2 linked regions of the Coturnix japonica genome follow. The protein of the gene in region 2 binds, or shares a complex with, the protein of the main gene of each other region. Links are inferred from orthologs where the notes say so. Each region holds a gene or a part of one and is shown on either strand. Other genes may lie near its edges.

Region 1 (4,654 bases), on a different chromosome or scaffold from region 2:
TTACAACATGGCAACTATTCTAAGGCTCTTCCCTGAGTGCTCCCTGTCTGCACCCCAATCTTCCCACATCCATTCCCAACATCATGGCCCTTATCCAGCAAACAGGCTGATGTACTCACAGAAATGCCTGTGTCCTTGTTCAGGATGACCTGCAGCAGGTGTGGGGGAAGAATGGGTGGAGATTTAAAGCGCTCCTCTGCCTTACAGACATAAGGCTCCTGGTGGTACGGTCCTGGAGGTGAGCTTGACAGCTCTGCCAAAGAGATGGGAAATAGCCTGTAAGAACATCTGCTCTTTACACCTGTGTTTTCCAGTACTCCAAGCGAGTTCTCATATCCAGGAACAAGAGAATAAAAGAAATGCATGGCCTCTAAGTACCTGAGCTGCAGCAGCTGATGCAATACCGCAGGATCAGTCACCACCCAGTAAGTGATTTAAGATACCCAAAGTCTGCCTGCCTTCACACTAACTACACAGGTCTTGGAGGCTGAGTGCTTACCACATATGATACCCAACTGCTAACAAGCTCATACCAGACATGTCCGAACACTTCTGGGAGTCCACCATCAAAGCATCAAACACTTCAAAGTCAGTTTTCTTCACCTGGATGATGTTGTTGACAGTCCCCAGCTGGCTGGTTACAACAGGCTGGGAAAAGATACAGAAGGCAAAATAAAAACACTTGCAGGCTATTAGGATTCTCAAAACTAAACAACCAGCACAAATGAGTTACTTTGCTTTGAAAACAGGCTGGTACCGGTGGGGAATGAGGTAATCAATGCAGTTATTGTTCAGTTAAGGGTCTGGTGCAGTATTTAGGGCTGGGGAGGGACTCTAGTCAATCGAGCTCACTAAGTCCACGTGAGTTGGGCACAGACAGCAAGCGCAGCACAGGGGGATGTGGGCTGTCAGCAATGCTGTAGTGCCTTATAAGACAGTTTGGCATCTCTTTATATGAAGAGCCAACAGATCTCAACACCTATTTGTTACAAAGCCTCCTGTCCTCGGGCATCACCCACAGGGATCACCATGTCTCTCACCAGCCTCATCTGTTTCTATTGTTAATAAACAAAAACCATCTGCTGGTACAGAAATCAACCAGTTTCTCCTCTTCACATACCTCAAGGAAGAAATACAGTGCACTGAAGAAAATACTACCTCTGAAGGATCGTGTGTCCACTGCCCGTCCACAAAGAACTTGTACTGGTGCTCTCCTTCTGGCAGGTCCAGGATTGCCACAAAGTTGTTGTGACTGGAATTGAAGACAAACAGTCACCCCTGAAACACTTGGAGAAGTGAATCCATCTACACACTGTGACACACATCATAACACAGAACCATCTTAATATGCAAAAACTTTAACAATGCAACCAGAGACCCTCCCCCAGTGGCAGTCAGCCCTTCAATGAGGTCTAAGAGAAGCACAGCCAGGCTCCAGCCCTTCCTATCACACAGCTGAACTGCCTTCACCTGTGCTGCTAGGGCTGACCGGGTCCTTTCCCCAGGTGCTCCATCAGTGCTTCAGGCCATGATCCAACAGTTCCCATACAAACTCAGACGGGGCACTGATGCCACTGTGTCTCTTCACTTCTCAAGTAAGGAGCACAGTGAGCTCTGATACTTCAGCATATGCAATTCCTAAATACAAGCACATTTCCCTCACTGAATTCCCAGTCCATAGGGAACACCACCGACCCTGCAGAAGTCTATTACCTCCTCGTCAAAGGGATTTTACTCCAGTTGTTGAAGGACCCAGATAAATACACTTCCTTCCCTCCTCCGGTCCAGCGAAAGACAGTCGGTCGAGCTTGAGTGGGGGTTTTGTCACTCACTTCCAGGTCCTGTTGCCAAGCTAGGAACTCTTCTTTATCCAATGGCGCCTACGAGCACAACATCCTGATCAATACAAGTCCCCTCTTTGCAGCCTTAGCTTGCATTTCACTCCATTTAATTCTGTGCTTAGGTGCAATTTGGCAAGACATGCTAAGATGAGACAGTGGCCCTTCTACGTGCTGCTCAGTGGCAAGAATCCTGCAAAGACGCTAAAGCCTTCCAAATCTATAGAAAGAATGGATGGCAACGTAAAAAACAAATGACTTGAGCTCATGGGAGCTTTCAAAACACACCGATATTAATAAGGAGAAAAAGAATAGTTAAGGGGAAAGACACTTCAGGAGCAGCAAGATTGGGGTAGGCATAAAACTTGTGGTTAGATCCTGAAAGGCTACAAGCTGCCTACAGGACAGGTATCCTCATGGGACACATAACACAGAGCAAAGGTACCAGCAATCCCCCTCATAATGAGCAAAAAAAGCAGCCAAGGGATCTTTTAGTATGGAAAATACCAGATGAAACAACACGGGTGGCTGCAAGAGGATGGGAAGGAAGATGGGGAGCGGTGGGTAAATGGGTAAAGCTCTAAGGGAGCCCCAGCATTGCCAAGCGGTCCCGTCTGAATGCAGCCATACCTTCATCTCCTCCGAATGGAACAGGTCCGCATCTTCAGGGCTGTCCATTAAGATCTTGGGTCTGTCCCCATCCTTGGAGCCGCCGGCTCCTCCCGCCCCATCACCCCGCGCTGCTTTGTGCCCATGGCGCTCCAGCCCGGCTCTCTCACTGCTTGTGTTCCCCATATTTAAGGCCCTAAAAGAGCAGAAGCCAGTTTAACCTTTAGTACCTGCAGCCACATAACCACGAAGCAAAGAAAACAACACCATCCCGGGCTGTGAGCTGAACACCAATGAACGCCACTTACCCAACGTCCGAGCAGCTGAGAATCGCATCACACTCAGAGCAGACAACGCGAGCGGCCCGTGCAAACGACCGGCAGCGGCCACGAATAACACGGAGCGATACGGAGCGATACGGAGCCCGGCAGCCCCCCGCCCCTTCCGCTTCCGTGTGCCCCGCATGGCCGCCCCGGGCAGCAGCCGGCCCCGGGTTCCGGATTTACTCGGGGATGAGAAACAAGGAAGCGCCGCCCCACGTCGGAAATACGTTCAGACTGTGCTGGGAGCTGCTGTGCGGGCGGGGGAGGTGATGGCTGCGATGGGAGGTGGAAACTGGAGCGCTGTTAAGTGACCGGCCAGAAGGGCTCTGTCTCTATCGGATCCTTGTGCACGCCGGGACGTGGAGGCAGAATTGTGCTGGGATGGGCAGATTCCCGGTGCTGGCTCCTGCTCCCGGAGGAGCAGCTGCTGCTCGTTTGTCTTCCATGGGCAGAGCGCCCTGAGCACACATCACACACATCACACACATCACAGGGGTTGTTAGAGCTTCCCCAGCTCCCACAGTGCCCTTATGCTGCTGTAGAATGCAGCTGTTGTTTTGACACTTAACACAGGTTAGCTCTCTCATGTTCTTTGCCTGCAGACCCGATGGTTTTGTGTCCCCTGCCACCAATGCGCACACATTGGAGGTACACAGCACCTTGTCTTGCCCGTTGGGGAGCCGCTGTGACAGCCTGCAGAGCCAGATGAGCTGCAAGCAGCAGCATCTCTACTTTAGGGCTCACCTTGTCTGCTTTACAACGGTTTTGTTATATACAAAAACCACAAACTGATAACACTGCAGAATAAGGGCTGCTGATAACCCACGGGGCTGTTGGGTAAGGAAAGTCCAAGCTTCTCTCAATGTAAAGCTTTGGTATAAAGACAGAATGGTTGCTCACCACGCAGCGTCACTCCAAAGCCTTTGGGAGCTCCTGGCCTTGGACAGGATGGAGGCAGTGGACACGGATGCGTGGTCATCACATGCACTGCGGTATCATTTCCTCCTATCAGCCTGAAGCAGAGCCCGGCTCGCTCACAGCTGTTCCTAAAGGAGATGTGGGACATGCCACGATGGCCTGGCAGAGCTCACCCACCCACTGAATCTTCTGCAGGTCAGAATCCCATTTGACCTGTTTGGATGCTCTCCTGGAGTTGGTTGAAACCCAAAGTGGCTGAACTCTGGTTGAGATGCCTATAGATGTGGCTGCCATGGTTCAGCACCACCCCACTGCCTGCTCTGGTGTGCATCCCTTAATGTCATTGGAGCTGCCCCTTCTCTTGCCTGAAATGTGTTGAAAAATGAAGTGTAGTGGCCAAATATCTTGGACTGTGCGTTTTAAAATCCTGATGTATCCGTTGGTATCTGACATGACACCAGCTTATCTGGCCAAAGAGAAGTAGCTGCAAGCTAAGTGGAAGCTGACTCAGCCCTCTAGATAGATATGATAGAAACAGAAGAGCCATCCTCAGTCATGAGCCAGCAGATCAAATTCAGACATGACACAGATCACATTATAAAGGATATACGAGCAAGTGCTCCTTGCAGCTTCTGTGCTACAGAGACAAGTGAGTCAGCTGGGAGCAGCAGCAGGATTTATCCTGGAGCTCAAGACAGGGAAAACATAAACTGCAGAAACCTCCCCATTCAATTCCTATAACCTTGTGTTCTACCTTGGCCTCCTGGGCTTGTTCCTCCAGCTTTAGATTGCTTGAGCAATCCCTCTCCCTACCACCCTCCTCCATTCAGGTCACTTCTGAATATATCCCATTTGGCCGGGCTGCAGAGGAAGTCAAGTTGGGCCGCCTCCTCTTAAAGCCTTGCTCACATTTCAAGGCAGGCGTGCCGTGGTGGTGCATGCAGAACATGCCGTTGTGTTTGGGAG
Region 2 (3,870 bases):
GAGTTTCCAGCCCTGTTCTGTTCAGTCCTTTCTAGCAGTGATAAATTCTTTTGAAGATTTACACATTTCACAGCCATTATGTTCTCTGAAGAGAACTCTCTCTTTTCTTCTATGGTAGAGAAGAAAGGTTCTGAGGTTTGCAACTCAGAGAAGCAAAGTTAGCTCGGAGTCAGTAATACTAGTTTGGAAAGAAAATGAGAGCTGTAATTGCAAAGTGGTTCAAAGGTGTCTACTTAGATTACATCAGATTTCCCCCTCTGCTTGCTGTATCTCTTCTCCCTGTCTGGATGTCAATACGTAGCCAACACCTTGTTTTTAGGATTGTCCAACATGATGTCTGATGGTGAATTTCTACGCACCAGCTGCGGTTCCCCAAATTATGCAGCCCCTGAAGTCATCTCTGGAAGGTAGGACATGCCACTTCCAATCATGTGAGTATGTGGTCTTTAAATTTGCTCTTGGGATTGGAACCAGCTTGTAATAAAGCAGCTGAGTGGTTCCAGCCGGTGTTTTGTGCCTGGGTGAGTCTGCTGGAAATATCTGAAGGTCTTCTTGCTCGTTGTATTTCTCAATGTCTGTACTAGCAAAACATGTTTTGCTAAAGATGTTTACTTTGGAGGAATTATTAACAGCAGATGTTTACTGTGTACATTGCTAATTAAAGGGAATGAAAATTACTCTTTGGATGCAGTCACTGAGGTTTCAGAAAGATAGGCTTTTCCAGGCCACCCCTTTCTCTCCTGCCCACCTATGTAAAACACAGTGTTAATGAGAAAACCACTCATTAAGCGAGCAATCAATATTCTGCTTAATCACTTCCCTACACTGCTAGACCCTTGTATTGAAAATCCTTGTCTTTGGGTCCCTTAACTCTCAGGCTTATGTTCATGCCAGCGGGTTCAGTGGTGGTAGCTTTGTCTTGAACTGATGAATTGAACTGACAGAACTGCAGAGCAGTGGCATCTCTCAGCTGTGTCCTGACTGGCTGCAGCAGCTGTTTGGAACAGGGCATTCTGAACACAGGCTCTAGGGCTGAATTCAGTCTTGCCCCATTGATACGGTCATGCCACTTCCCATGTTTTACTGTTGAGAACCTGAATTACGTTGAATTCCCTAATTCTCCTCTGTAAAAGCATAATGCAGTTTACAAATACAGATCTTTGAATTTACAGTCCTCTGCGTGTTCCTTTGGACTGCCCATAACCTTAGCATCCACTCCATCCTTTTGAACCATCCTTTGCATGAGAGCTACTTTTCATAATCTGGTATGTCTCTGCCTATAGCTTTCAAACCCAACCTTTTGTTTAATGTTGTGATGATGACTGTTTTATGCCTGTTTACACAGGCGCGTGTGTTGGCAGAGTATCCTAGGAACTAGACCAGCATCCAAAAAGCCTGTTGTGACTATGGTTCTACATATGAAAGCAAGTAAATCCTCATTTTCAAGAGGGGCACAAAGCCAGAAACTCGACAGTGATTCAAAAAAATATTATTCCCATATTTTTTTTTGTAATAAAGGCCAAAACCACATATATATTTTTTTCAGTTCATATAGGAGACAGAGAGGAACAACCTGCCATTTCCACCAGGGGTGAATGTGCTGCTGGAGGTGGATATAGCTGAGCTCCTCCCAGAGACGGTGCACTATGTGAGACCTTGTGTTTCAGCATCATGAAAGTGAACCTCATTTGGGTTTAAAAGTCCAAGCACGGTTCAAACAATGTGGCTATCAGCCAAAAAATAGACATCCTGTCTGTTGGAATCAGACATAGACTGTGGGGACTTGGAGCCGATTGCATTAGCGGAATGCCCTGACTTTGCTGCTGTCACTGTTCTCCATGGGAGAAGTCTCAAGCATGAGCTCAGAAATGGTATTTTGTTACCTGGGTAGCATTCATAGAATGACAGTGTGCATGGCTGGTTCTTTTTTTTATACCAGGTGTGTCTACAGCAGAACTTTTCAAGAGGAGCAAGTGCAGGACGATTAGGTTTCATGAACAGACCTCTGTATTGGATTTTACAGTCCAAGAGTAGTCACTGACTCCCAGAATCTCTGAGAAATCAGCAGTTTCAGCAAAAACCAATGAACAAACAAATCAAGCAGGCAAGCAGCAGCAGCAAAACCCATATATTTGGGGTATCCTGACTTGGTGATGCCAGGAAGCACATTAACAGCTTGTCGGAAGCTGGAGCTCTTGCATACCAGCACACAAACTTCAACTGAAAATAAACACTCAAGAGATATAGTATCTGCTGCTGTTTAATCTGCTTCTGAGTGAATAGAAACTGCTGGCTGAGTCCCCCAGCCTCGGGGGCAAGGAAGCAAGCAGCCTGGCAGAGCTCCTGGAAATGTAGATTTGGGCTTTTTGTTGGGTCTGGTGGAGTTGCTCATATTCCTGTTTCATGCATCACGAAGGAGCGTGATCAACTAAAAGCAGCTCTGCGTCATTCCCCATCACCCTCGAGTAGGTTTTTGGCTTAGGCAGCCCAAGGATGCAGAGAGGAATAGAGGAAGGGTTGTGACCCATTTCTCCTCCTCTGCTTCACACAGGCTGTATGCTGGCCCAGAGGTGGACATCTGGAGCTGCGGTGTCATCCTCTATGCCCTCCTCTGTGGCACTTTGCCCTTTGATGATGAGCACGTGCCCACCCTCTTCAAGAAGATCCGGGGAGGTGTGTTTTACATCCCCGAGTACCTCAATCGCTCCGTTGCCACTCTGCTCATGCACATGCTGCAGGTTGACCCTCTCAAGCGTGCAACCATCAAGGACATCAGGTCAGCCCACAGCGTGGTTTGTAGGAGTTGCCAGTTAATCCAGCTGAGTTTGGTCCTAAGGGATTTAAGGAGCCCGCCTGAACTCTTCTGTGCCAATGGTGAGGCAAGTGCTGCCAGCTGGTGGTGGGTGATGATGAATGTGGGATTGGCGACTTCATTTCTCAGTGGCTTCACTAATTCAAGTGAAAATAGGCAATAGGTAGCTTCCTGCAACTTATATACAGATAATTCTATCTTCATACATTATAAAATAGCCTCAAAAATCTCTTAGTAGTGCTTAACATAACCAGCTCTCACACAGTATTCCTAAGAACTCTATATTGGCCAGCTATTTTTCAGTACTTTATTTCAAGCACATCTCTCTTTGGTAGCTGTTTAGAATAAAAGTGTTGTCATTGCACTTGCTGTCTATTCGATAAAAAAGGAAGTGGAACACAAGAATTACTAGCTAAAATGTTAGTCACAGTTTAAAATGTCAGCAAATGTCCTTAAATGAGGCATTTCTTCTGTAGTCAATGGCTGTACTACCCATGAAAGGGAACAATTGGGCACTTAAGTAGGCATTTGTGCCTTCAGATATCGTGACATGTTTGTAACTGGCAACAGGGCTTTGAATGTTTCACAAACTGAGTAATTTTTTAAATATTTATCTTGTGAAAGTGGAGTCCCATATGTATTTTGTGGAATTTATAGTAGCCATTACTATAACATGCTTTAGCAGAGGGTTGGGCTGGATCATCTCCAGAGCTCCCTTCCAACTTCTATGGTTCTGTGATTACATGTAGCTGGTGTGCTAAGCATATGCATAAACATCACAAGTACTTACAGGACATAATGGATTGTTAATACTTTTGCAATTGATGGCCTGAATTTAACCATTCAAATAGGATCTGAACTATAAATGCCTTTTAAACTTCACGAGTCCTGAAGAGTAGGAGATTTAATTGTATGTTAGAGCAACAGCATGCATGCCAAGATTACCATTGATAGGTGGCACCTATAGCTGAGGCTTGCACTGGCATTTACCTGCTTAATTACCATTGACTTCATTGTGAACTGGTGGGAGTAGTGGGCCTGGCTAGCTTTGAAATATA

The links.
Region 1: the proteins of PRKAA2 (region 2) and PRKAB1 are in contact, whole or in part, in a crystal structure (PDB 8BIK), measured with the Homo sapiens proteins. The link is inferred for Coturnix japonica from reciprocal best matches to the Homo sapiens genes PRKAA2 and PRKAB1. Residues at the interface, in NP_006243.2 of Homo sapiens: Gly9, Val11, Lys12, Ile13, Thr21, Lys29, Lys31, Asn48, Arg49, Arg53, Asp56, Val58, Ile61, Lys62, Ile65, Gln66, Lys69, Val82, Ile83, Ser84, Thr85, Pro86, Thr87, Asp88, Phe89, Phe90, Met134, Met164, Ser165, Asp166; in NP_006244.2 of Homo sapiens: Pro79, Thr80, Val81, Arg83, Thr106, Ser108, Asn111, Val113, Ile115, Gln154, Val155, Asp159, Phe160, Glu161, Val162, Phe163, Ala165, Leu166, Asp169, Ser170, Lys172, Cys173, Pro186, Tyr187, His188, Gln189, Glu190, Pro191, Tyr192, Ala202.

Annotation. Positions count from the first base shown.
Region 1 is NC_029530.1:8,559,567-8,564,220, forward strand, and holds the start of PRKAB1 (5'-AMP-activated protein kinase subunit beta-1), read right to left. Parts: upstream 2,905-4,654; 5' UTR 2,756-2,904; intron 2,644-2,755; 5' UTR 2,634-2,643; coding exon 2,469-2,633; intron 1,881-2,468; coding exon 1,714-1,880; intron 1,253-1,713; coding exon 1,159-1,252; intron 649-1,158; coding exon 534-648; intron 254-533; coding exon 120-253; intron 1-119. UniProt on the Homo sapiens protein: Non-catalytic subunit of AMP-activated protein kinase (AMPK), an energy sensor protein kinase that plays a key role in regulating cellular energy metabolism.
Region 2 is NC_029523.1:23,047,293-23,051,162, forward strand, and holds part of PRKAA2 (5'-AMP-activated protein kinase catalytic subunit alpha-2), read left to right. Parts: intron 1-319; coding exon 320-407; intron 408-1,939; coding exon of another isoform or gene 1,940-1,988; exon of another isoform or gene 1,989-2,535; intron 2,536-2,551; coding exon 2,552-2,776; intron 2,777-3,870. UniProt on the Homo sapiens protein: Catalytic subunit of AMP-activated protein kinase (AMPK), an energy sensor protein kinase that plays a key role in regulating cellular energy metabolism.